2 linked regions of the Arabidopsis thaliana genome follow. The protein of the gene in region 1 interacts with the protein of each later gene in a biochemical or structural test. Each region holds a gene or a part of one and is shown on either strand. Other genes may lie near its edges. The genes, in order: AT4G39680 and BIN2.

The links.
Region 2: of the proteins of AT4G39680 (region 1) and BIN2, one has a biochemical effect on the other in vitro, tested with the Arabidopsis thaliana proteins (one study listed by BioGRID).

Annotation. Positions count from the first base shown.
Region 1 is NC_003075.7:18,413,504-18,419,155, reverse strand, and holds AT4G39680 (SAP domain-containing protein), read left to right. Parts: upstream 1-1,547; 5' UTR 1,548-1,809; intron 1,810-1,971; 5' UTR 1,972-2,030; intron 2,031-2,194; 5' UTR 2,195-2,217; coding exon 2,218-3,370; intron 3,371-3,582; coding exon 3,583-3,771; intron 3,772-3,865; coding exon 3,866-4,017; intron 4,018-4,144; coding exon 4,145-4,552; 3' UTR 4,553-4,850; downstream 4,851-5,652. Other genes in the region: AT4G39690 (MICOS complex subunit), read right to left, coding at 336-1,052, 1,135-1,198, 1,391-1,401; AT4G39675 (uncharacterized protein), read right to left, coding at 5,103-5,315.
Region 2 is NC_003075.7:10,294,134-10,299,968, forward strand, and holds BIN2 (Protein kinase superfamily protein), read left to right. Parts: upstream 1-2,004; 5' UTR 2,005-2,340; coding exon 2,341-2,355; intron 2,356-2,392; exon of another isoform or gene 2,393-2,944; coding exon 2,945-3,037; intron 3,038-3,128; coding exon 3,129-3,461; intron 3,462-3,553; coding exon 3,554-3,628; intron 3,629-3,721; coding exon 3,722-3,778; intron 3,779-3,872; coding exon 3,873-4,013; intron 4,014-4,103; coding exon 4,104-4,154; intron 4,155-4,234; coding exon 4,235-4,330; intron 4,331-4,416; coding exon 4,417-4,500; intron 4,501-4,582; coding exon 4,583-4,780; 3' UTR 4,781-5,256; downstream 5,257-5,835. Other genes in the region: AT4G18720 (Transcription factor IIS protein), read left to right, coding at 5,812-5,835. UniProt on the Arabidopsis thaliana protein: Negative regulator in brassinosteroid signal transduction pathway important for plant growth. May be also involved in auxin signaling pathway. Phosphorylates and increases the degradation of BZR1 and BZR2/BES1 by the proteasome.

The sequences.
Region 1 (5,652 bases):
TACATTCCTTCTTAAAAAATCAGTTTCTATCAGAATTTGATTCAGGACAGTTAACATAATGTCCATATGAATATCCCATTTCAACCAATATAATAAGAATTTGCACAAAACAAAGGAGTGCTTTTAACTCCAACAATGTAGCAGAATCCCTTTACATAGGTGTATCCCCTTTCAAAATACAAGCATTCTGGTCCAATGCAGGAAAAGGACGAGACAAGAAAAATTTCATGAAACAAGGAATACTGAGACATTCATCTTCTGATTTTTAAATCTGTAAGCTATTCATTTCATTACTTGTAGTTCTTTTTCAAGTTCAGCAAAGGAAATTTTAGTACCTCAGGTGTCTTTAGAGCGGCAGGATCCTTTGGTGAAGCAGATTCCGTTTCGCTTTCTCTATGAACCGAACTAGACTGGGCATTAACAATAATAGGACTATCCCCAGGTTTGGGTACAGCTTCCAACTTCACACTTTCTGCCTCAGAAATAATTTCTGATGGCATGTCCGGCTTAGCTCCTGAATCTTCAGATGCAGAAATAGGCAAGTTTATCTCTGCTCTATCAATGACAGTTTCTTGAGGTGTCTCCTCTTGGTTAGAAGAAATATATGTAAAACGGTCAGATGATAGATCAGACTCGGGTTGCAGTTCTATGTCACTCTGCACTCCCTCGGAAGCTTCAGAATGAGTAACTTGAGGTTGCGTTTCAACTTTTCCATCTTTTTCAGTAGAATCTTCAACACCGGAAGGTACATTCAAATGATGAGCCTCCTCCAGCTTTTCAGTTAGAGCATCAGAATGAATTCGCTCACTTAATTTCTGCTGTTCTTTCCCCAGATATTGATCCAAATAGCCAGTCTGATACGCTACCAGAAAAGCCCCAGCGATTGCAACACCTCCTATAACCACTTTTGAAGAATTTCCTTTAGTAGGAGGAGGAGGAGTCACTTTTGGAGGATCAACTTTTGAGGCATCTGGTTTCCCAACGGGTTTAGCTCCAGGGAGACCATTTTTACCAGATGTAGATGCATTTCTCGAAGAGCTCAAATGAAACCTCTGATGCATAACATAACACAATCAATCCAAGAGAGTACTCACAAGACGCTAACTAAGAATCACAACTAAATTCATAACTCACCTGAGCTCCCAAATTCCTCGGGAATCTCTTTATTGACAAACGAGAAGACAGCTCGAGAACCGACCTAAGCAAAAGAGCAACAACATAAACCACATTCGGTATGATTCACAAGAGAATCAAAGTCACAAATAGCTCTCAATTTAGAGGAATCAATAAAATCAGACCCGAAAGCTACGCAACGAGATTGATGGAACAAGAGAAGCCAAAATTCAACAAGATGGATTGAGATAATAAACTTAGGGTTCAGGAAACATACTTCCGAAGCATTATCGCGTCGCGTCTCTGGTGATACAAACGCCGAACGAGAGAGCGAAGATGTTACGACGGACGGAGAAGACTCGGAGCCTCCGGTGAGTAAAATAATAGTATTCTCTGAAAACCCCAAAAGCATTGAAACGACGCCGTACAAAATTACTTGAGAAAAAGGGTAATTTAGACATTTCACAATACAATGCGACCCATTATCACTTCAGGTCCTCGAGTTTTTCCCCAATATCAAAACCACTCGACGAACAAGAACCCTAGAATTCGCCTCCTCTTTCCAAAATTCCCAATTTTTGTAATGACGGGATAGAAAAATTCCCAATGTCCGCTTTATCTTTCATTCTCGATTAGAATTCTTCAACCAAAGGTCACTCTCTCTCCGTTCCATTGCTTCTGGATTTCGTTTTTAAGGTTTGCGTTCTTCTTTTTCTTCTTCGTCTTAAGAGAGTAAAATCTGGTGTTGAAGAATCTATTTTGAGTCGGAAATTTGATAAATTTGTAATCTTCCGTACTGGGTTTTGATTGTTGTCTTGTCTCTCTAATTGTTTCATTCTTCTTATGCTACGAATTTAGGGTTTTACATTTTTCCTGCCTTCTTTTACCCATCAGAGGAAGTTTCAAGCCATTTTGTTGTAAGTCATCTTTAAACTTCTAGCTCTTTTGGATTGGGTTTGTTAAAGATTTAAGCTTTGGTTTTAAATTATATAGATTTGCTGCGTTGCTTTGCTAATTTGTCTGATTTAGGTTTTGTCCTCTGCGATGGGTTTCTCTAATTTTATATTCAATATTTTTTCAGAATCAGCTCTCTCATAAGCTAAGATGTCGTCATCGCCTTTTCCAGTCTTGGACAACCGACCAATTGATAAGTGGAAGGTTACGGAATTGAAAGAAGAGCTTAAAAGACGGAGACTAACAACAAGAGGCTTGAAGGAGGAATTGGTTAGGCGTCTTGATGAAGCACTTCGTGCTGAGCAAGAAGAGTCTGAAAGGATCAATAGTGCTACTGTTGCTGCTGCTGAAAAAGCCAATCAAGAGCCTCAGATGTTTCCTGTTACTGTAGGTGATCGTAATCAAACCACTCCTGTTACTCCTGTTGAAGCGGCATTTAGCACTGAGACAACTCCTGTTACAGCTGAGAAAACCCCAGAACCAACTCAGACCAAGATAACAACTGAAGCTTCAGCTGGTGTTGAGACTACACCAGCCCCGGTGTTTTCAGAACCAGAGGTTAACGCTGTGCCATTCGCTAGTGATGAAGATGAGAAAGAGAAAGTTGATGATGTTAGAGACATAGCTGGTCTTGATAGTTCAGTGGTTGCACGTGATGCAGCAGTTGTGCAAGTGGCGTCTAGTGAGCACAAATCTGAGAATAATGAACCATTTAGTGGGTTGGATGGTGGGGATTCTAAGGCTCAACCATCAGAGGCAGTGCTTGAAAAATCTGCTATGTACAACCAGGTATCTGAGGTCATCCCCGTTACAGGGTTTGAGGTAAAATCTGATTGTATTTCTACTGATTCTGTGTCAAATAATGAAAAAATAGAACTAAAGGATAACAAAATTGCTGATAATGTCAAATTAGAACAAAATGTTAATAAGTTCCAAGAGCCATCAACAGTCGTTGGCGAATCGCATCCAATGGATGTCGAGGAGCCACTTGAGCAGAAGACATCTGTTGGAGGTGGGGATGACAGCAATGCTGCAAACGCAGATATGATCAAAGAAAATAATATTATCGATGCAGGCGACTCAGAAAAGTTGAATTTAGATAGAAGTTCTGGTGATGAGTCTATGGAGGATGAGCCGGAGACAAAGCAATCCGAGTCAATTACATCTGATGATAAGAGTGCAAAAATTGAAATGCTTTCTAAGGAGGAAAGCCGTGCTGATATGGATGCGGGGAAAGGGAAATCCCCTGAAAATAAAAGTCACCCACTGGTGGCTTCTGACAAAAGAAAGCTTCCTGCTAATGGTAATTCCTCTCATATTCATTTGTTTTATTAATCAAATCTTTTACTGTGTTTAATCTGTAATGTTGGTGTTTGAGGCATATACTGGTAGTGTTTAATAGTTGTTTCATCTTTGTCGTTTATGGCTACTTCTTATATATATTGGCTTTTGAAGCATCTGTTTTGAAATTCTAGCTATGTATGCTGAAATGTCTTTCTTTGTAACTCAATGTAGATCAAGAAGCTGTTGGAAACAATGAACCTGCAAAGAGGCGCCGATGGAACTCTAATAGTATTAAAGTTCCTGAAGCACAGATCACTAATAGTGCTACACCCACTACAACACCAAGGTCGACTGGTCTGAAGCGCGACTTCTCAAGGTCTGACTCTTCGGTTAGTGAAGATGGACCCAAGGAACGTGTGGGTATGTAATACAGCACCCCCTCTATGTATGTTTCCATCTCTTATTCATTGTCTTAAAGCTTTGTTTGATAGATGTGTTCAATATTTATTGGCAGTTCCTCCATCTCCAAAGGAGCCTACAAATTCCCTCAGGATTGACCGTTTCCTTAGGCCGTTCACACTGAAAGCTGTTCAGGAGCTCCTGGGTAAAACCGGAAATGTCACTAGTTTCTGGATGGACCACATTAAGACCCACTGCTATGTATCGGTAAGACCGCTTCTTCAAATCCTTTTGATTTACAAAAATGTTGATTCTGTTTGTGTACTTTCGAATTCAATTATCTAAATATCCAAAGAATTTTGTGTAACATGAGTGAGTTGTGACGTGACTGCAGTATCCCTCGGTTGAAGAAGCAGCAGCAACAAGAGAAGCAGTGTATAACCTCCAGTGGCCACCTAATGGAGGCCGCCATCTGATAGCTGAATTTGTTAGAGCAGAAGAAGTAAAAGAAAAACTGGAAGCTCCTCTGCCTCCTCAGCCTCAGCATCAGCCACAAGCTCAGACTCTTTCGCGGCCACCTCCAACTGCTCTTCCACCACCACCACCTCTGGCCAAACCACCTCACGTTGTAGAACGTCTTCCTCTGCCTCCCCCTCCTCCTATAGCCCCTGAGGAACAAGAACCTCCCATTGTCACTCTTGATGATCTATTCAAGAAGACAAAAGCGATCCCCAGGATATATTACTTACCCTTGTCAGAGGAGCAAGTTGCAGCTAAACTTGCAGCGAATAATAACAAGTGATCTTGCTGGTTCTTGGGAATTTCAGGTCATTGTTTTCGTAGCAGGCTCTTAGGAATTTAGCTCAGTGCGGACAAAAGTTGAGTACTCTGTTGAGTTTGGTTTGTTATTTTTAATGTAGAACGGATGGGAAGACTCTTCTTATGTTTAGTAGACTTTGGTTTGAACCTGTGATGAACTAACAGAGTTGTTTGGCTCTCTGTGTGTTAGATCTTTTCCTCTCCATTTCTTCTTTTACCTTTTCATGGATCTATGAACAATTGTTGGGTCAAAAATAAAGTAATAGCAGCCCAATATTACCAAATTTCAAATCTTGCAACTTACTTTTAGATCATGTGTCAAACCTAGTAATGGGCGTGTGTCAATGGAATAACCTTTTAACACTTGATAACATAAACACACAAATTGTACACTTTCACAAAACTACAAAGACGACCAAGATACGTTTTAGACACATCACACATACATACATAATTACATGCAAACACAAAGGACAAATACTTGGGAGAGAAGGCTCTGAAGATCCTTTTCAAGAATTTCATTACTTTGAACTTCACTTTTGTGATTTGAACTCTACTTGTTCATAAGACAAACGAGAAGGATAGATTTTATTAGAAATCCTTCCGGACGCAAAAGATGTTTCGACAGGGAGTCTATGAGCTTCATCGTGGTCGAAGTTTCTCTCCTTTTCTAGCTTTTTCATCTTCTCCTTCTGCTTCTTCTGCATGACTTGTAGGTGTGCGTAACTTGCTCCAATGGACGACATTACTTTTTAGTGTTGGTTAACAAAATAAATGTGTTAAGAATAAGATGTGGTTAAGATTTTCGAAGTGAAGGTTGAGTTTGTAGAAGAGTGCCTATTTATAGAGGTTTCTACGATTTCATTGCCGCTCTTAATTAATATATTTCTCTCTTTGATAGCCTTGATGTCTTAGGTGATTAAACTATGGGGAGTCGGTTGTTCCACAAATTTACACATATTATTAATAATGATTCATTTAGAAATTACTTATAGGGGGAGGTTTTATCTAGTTTGTGGCTTTCGCTTTAAGGGCGGCTCTTATACCAGCGGCACAAACTATGGTCCAATACATTCACATCTC
Region 2 (5,835 bases), 8.1 Mb from region 1:
TAATCTGAGGTTAAAGTTACAATAATAATCATATAGAAACAAGTTCAATAGCAAAATTAACTTAGACATGCAATTTACCGATTTCTTGACATTAGTCGAAAAACATTTGAAACTCGGTTATACAATGAGGTTATCGTTCAGGCCTCTGGAAAGAAAATCAATTCTATAATACTTCAATAACTTTTTAGTAAAACTAACTGGATCAACTGATGAATCATATATCAAAAAAACAAAAAAAAAAACTAACGGAGGTAGACAATAGTTTAGCTGGAATGCTTGAAGAAATGGCAAGAATATGCTTCGAGAAGTTATGATTTATGAAGAGGTTACCTGCAAATTTTTTCATTTCTTTTTGCCGACGGTTGGCTGTTAGTTAGGAAAAAGAATTTTTGTTATAGGATTTTCTCTTCCGTTTCGTACAAACCCAATCATTATTCTCGTCTTTATACTTAACTTTGCCTCTCATTTTCATGTTATCAATCTTTTAAATTAAATATATCGTCAATGACTGTTATGAATAATTAGTTCTTCATTCTCTGCCTTGGTTCGAACCTCAGTCACATGGTGCACGTTATTGTGATTTCCCATACCTCAAGAGTTATTCAAGATCCCTTACAGAAATATATTTATATAATCTTTTATCTAATGTAGTTATTTACAAACATGTATTATCTACCAAAATAAAAAGGGCTAAAAGCTTCTTGAGTGAGACCGCTTTTGGTTCGATTCATTTTCCTACACTCCAATAGTATTACACTATTGTATATAACAAGAATCGTGGGATTTGTTTAATCCGTACAATGAAACAAGAAAGATATACAATAACTTAATATCATTTTTTTTTGGGGACAATCTTAATATCATTTCTAATTTCTATAGAACCAAAAACACTCATAACAACTTAAACTTTGTTTTTTGTGAGAAAAATAACAACTTAATTACTAGTTACTACATTGACAATTTAACATCTTCAGCTAAAACCGAATGTATATGAACATTTATAATCTAGTTGCTATTGTATATACGATTGGATAATACGCATATCGACATTTAAATAATTGAGCCTGAAGATAATTCACAAATATGCAATGTAAATCCGTCCATACAGCCAAAAGTATGTATGTCCCATGCATAATTGAACAAAAAGAAATTATATTAATATTATTTTTGTTGTCTTCTGCAAATGCTAGGACTGCTATCATTATCATCATTGATTTTAATATTGATGTTTCCAGAAAAATAAATAAACAAATATAAAGAAAAAAACAAACACAATAAGTAAAGCTACACTATTAGGTAATAATTAAAGCTCATTTTTAAGTCTAAAATTTTAATTATAAAATAAAAACATTAAAAAGTTAAGACCCAAAGAAACATAAATGCTTTTTTCTTTCATCAATGTCAAAAAAGAAGTTTTCCCACCAAATGGTCAAACTTGGATCTTTGACAATATTGTTCCAATTTCATCATGCCCTATCTTTTCTATTTATACACATACCTTAGATATAATTATTAAACCCAAAATTTGTGTTAAGAAAAAAAATAGACCCAAAATTTGTGTTAAGAAAAAAAATAGACCCAAAATTTGGAATATATATATAAGTCACCGCTGGAAAAAAAATTATTGCAAGTAATTTCTTATATGAAATTGGAATGATAATATTTTGATCAAGTATCCATTACTAAAATTTTACAACGCTAGATAACGAGATTGCTTGAAGTCGAACTTGTGAACAAATTATAATAATGTAAAACTAACTTGTATTGACTAATCTTTGATTTTTTTTACAATAATGAGTGATATTACATTCATTTTATTAACTAAATACAACGAATATGATAAATATTCAGTCCTCTTATAAACTTTATGATAGTGAAAATTTGAGACATTGACAATTCTAGCATTCTAACATTTTATGAGATTACATGAAATGTCAATTTAGACCTTAAACCAAACGAATACATGATTCAAATTTGACCGACAAGTACATGATGCCTTCCCTTTGATCACGAAATTTCCACAAAGAGTCCGTGTCTGCGTAATTAACCAGCAATTTCAAGGGTGTTTACGTAATTGTAGCTTAACAAATAAAAAACACGAAAGAAGATGGCGAAGAAAACGGAAAGTAGTAGATAGATAAAGAAAGAGAAAGAGAAGAGCTGGATTCACATGGTCTTGTTCTTTCTCTCTCCTTCTTTTCTCATCTTGCGGCTTCCCTTTCTCTCTCTATCGCCACAATGATCATTACCAACCAAACTGATTGAAACTCATTTGTTCTCTCTCTCTCAAATCCACTCTCTCTCTTTCTTTTCTCTTCTCCTCTCTGTGTCTCTATCGCCATGGCTGATGATAAGGTAAAGCTGCTTGTGTTCCTTTTGCTGTCTTTTGAAGAAGAAGATCCTGTTTTTTGGTTTTTCCACATTTGACCCTTCAATTAGTTGTCTTGAGATTCCTGTTCTTACAGATGTTTTGTGATAATAAATCTAGTTTAGTTAGTACTCTTGAAGTTGAACGGTTTTGAGTTCTGGGTTTGTCCAAAGTTTTGAGCTTTCGTTAACTTTTTGACTTACCCTGAGATCTCTGAGGGTTTTGAGTTCTGAGCTTAGAATTTTCTAAGTTAGCTCTGTTGGGATGATCCATGTCTATATATCTCGATCTGTGATTAATCCAGAGTTTATACAAGCTGCTAGATCCATAATTGAACATAGATTAGTCCTTGTTTGGTTTGTTATATGTATTTGTTTTGTTTACCATTCTTTTGGCGTGACAAAAGTATATATTTTTAGTTTTAACTAAATCAGATTCACTCTGCGTAACGGTTATTTTGTAACCACTCTTTTAGGATAAAAGTTTCCTTCTTTAGACTTTTGATTCTCAGACAAGCATTATTCTTTTAGCTTTTGATAATGGTTTTGTGCTGATATTAAAGCTTTTCTCTTTCAGGAGATGCCTGCTGCTGTAGTTGATGGACATGATCAAGTCACTGGTCATATTATTTCCACCACAATCGGTGGCAAAAATGGTGAACCAAAACAGGTATTTTTAAGGCTTTTAACCAAATAGACTCACTTTTATGTATATGCAAGATTTTGATGGTTACCAATACATTTTTCTATGTTGTTGTTAGACAATTAGTTACATGGCGGAGCGAGTTGTTGGTACAGGCTCGTTCGGGATCGTTTTCCAAGCAAAATGTTTGGAGACTGGAGAAACCGTGGCGATAAAGAAGGTTTTGCAAGATAGAAGATACAAGAACCGAGAACTTCAGTTGATGCGTGTGATGGATCATCCGAATGTGGTTTGTTTGAAGCATTGCTTCTTTTCGACTACAAGTAAAGACGAGCTTTTCTTGAACTTGGTTATGGAGTATGTCCCTGAGAGCTTGTATCGAGTTCTGAAACATTATAGTAGTGCAAACCAAAGAATGCCTCTTGTCTATGTTAAACTTTACATGTATCAGGTAATAACAACACACATTCATATCTTCCATTTCCAAAGTTGATGTACATAAGATTGTTCTTAGGCTGATATTACTTCCTTTTGTTATGTTAGATCTTCCGGGGACTTGCTTACATTCACAATGTTGCTGGAGTTTGTCACAGAGATCTAAAGCCTCAAAATCTTCTGGTATGTGTAACATTTTAAGATTGAACTCTTTGTTTTTTTTCTTGCCTTTGTTTCTTTCGTTCTTAATGTATCTCTTCTGGTCTCTTTCTATAGGTTGATCCTCTTACTCATCAAGTCAAAATCTGTGACTTTGGCAGTGCGAAACAGCTCGTAAGACTTTGTGACATATAAACTCATTCGACTTGTAGCGGTTGTTGTTTTCTGTGATCTTGTCATTTACTGTTGAAATTTACTTTTGCTTCAGGTTAAAGGTGAAGCCAACATTTCTTACATCTGCTCACGATTCTACCGTGCACCCGAGCTCATATTTGGTGCCACTGAGTACACAACTTCTATTGATATCTGGTCTGCTGGTTGTGTTCTTGCTGAGCTTCTTCTTGGTCAGGTAAACAATTCTTTCAGTAACCAGCTTATTCAATCTCCATGTGTATATTTGCATTAGGACTCATTGTGACTATATCATGTTCTTATGCAGCCATTATTTCCCGGAGAAAATGCTGTGGATCAGCTCGTTGAAATTATAAAAGTAAGAATCTTTAAACGATGATTCCTTGCAAATTACATTCTTTGGCTACAAAATCCTCACTGTATAGTTGTTGTACACAGGTTCTTGGTACACCAACTCGAGAAGAAATCCGTTGTATGAATCCACATTACACAGATTTCAGGTTTCCACAGATAAAGGCACATCCCTGGCACAAGGTTAGTGTCTTTTCTCTTTTTGCATGTGTTCTTGTTTCAGTTTCTTTCTTCACACATCAACTGATCATAATTACGTTTTGGTTTAGATCTTCCACAAAAGGATGCCCCCAGAAGCGATTGATTTTGCATCAAGGCTGCTTCAATACTCTCCAAGTCTAAGATGCACAGCGGTAAGCATTGGTCTTGAGGTTTCTTCAGTCTCTAAGAATCCAACTGAATCCTTACTATATATTTTGTTTCCTCGTATTTCAGCTCGAAGCTTGTGCACATCCGTTCTTTGATGAACTCAGAGAACCAAACGCTCGTTTACCAAATGGACGGCCTTTCCCGCCTCTCTTCAACTTCAAACAAGAAGTAGCTGGATCATCACCTGAACTGGTCAACAAGTTGATTCCAGACCATATCAAGAGACAATTGGGTCTAAGCTTCTTGAATCAATCTGGAACTTAAAAGGGATCCTGCAAAAGACAACTACTTTTTTATATATAATGTACCATTACACGAGCCACAAGGTCGTAGTTGAAGGCAAACGTGGAGGACACAATTCAAAGTTTTTCCTCCTCAAACTCGTTCAGACAAAGCCAGCTGCTAGCAAAACCAACTCCCCCAAATCTGCGAAAACAAAAACTCTCCAGTGTTGTATCTGCTTATTTCTCTTCTCTTTTCAAGTTTGGTGAAAAACACAGTCTCCTCTTTGCTTCATTTCTTCTTTCTTTCCCCCTTATGTAAATGAGTTTAGTCAGAAGTTTTTTTATATAGTAAAGTTTGGGCAGAAGGTGAAGAATGTAATCAAAGTGATACTCTTTCAACGAGGAGCTTCTTTCAAACACTTTTTTTTTTTTTCAAACACTTCATGAATGGATACATGGTTTTGCTTTAAGCATAAGTATATTTGTATTAAATTTTCACTCAATTTAATTGCACGAATCATTACAAAAATAATATCTCGCTACTCATATAAATACCCTATAAATAAATAAGTGAATTTTTTTTATCTCTCATGGAAATTTGATTTATGTATTTATATGTTTTAAGATTCGAAGAAATTTTTAAATAATGAAAATTTACAAATATATAATTCTTAATTCAGAATTTCAGATATTGAATTACTTATTGGATTTTTAAAACAAAAAGAAAATTACATGACTTTTTTTTTCTTTTTTTTTTTTAAATATCTGTTAGTTCAAGTTAAAAGACCATACATTTTCTAAAGGCGGGACCTATATCAGGTTAAATTCATCTCCTTTTAGAAAAAAAATATATTTGGGAAAGGCTTTGATAGCAAGCAATTAAAGTATCCGAAACTAACAAAACCTATCTGGTCTTGGACTCTTAGTCTTTATATAAACAACATCAGATAGATCGAGAGACCATACGCAACAATTTACTAATTTCTCTTCTCCTTCGTTGCTTTTGAAACCCTAGTTATTATCGAGAGATCAAACACGTACGTACACAAAAGACCGATCAAACAGAGAAGGATGCAGAAGCGTGAGTTCATGGAG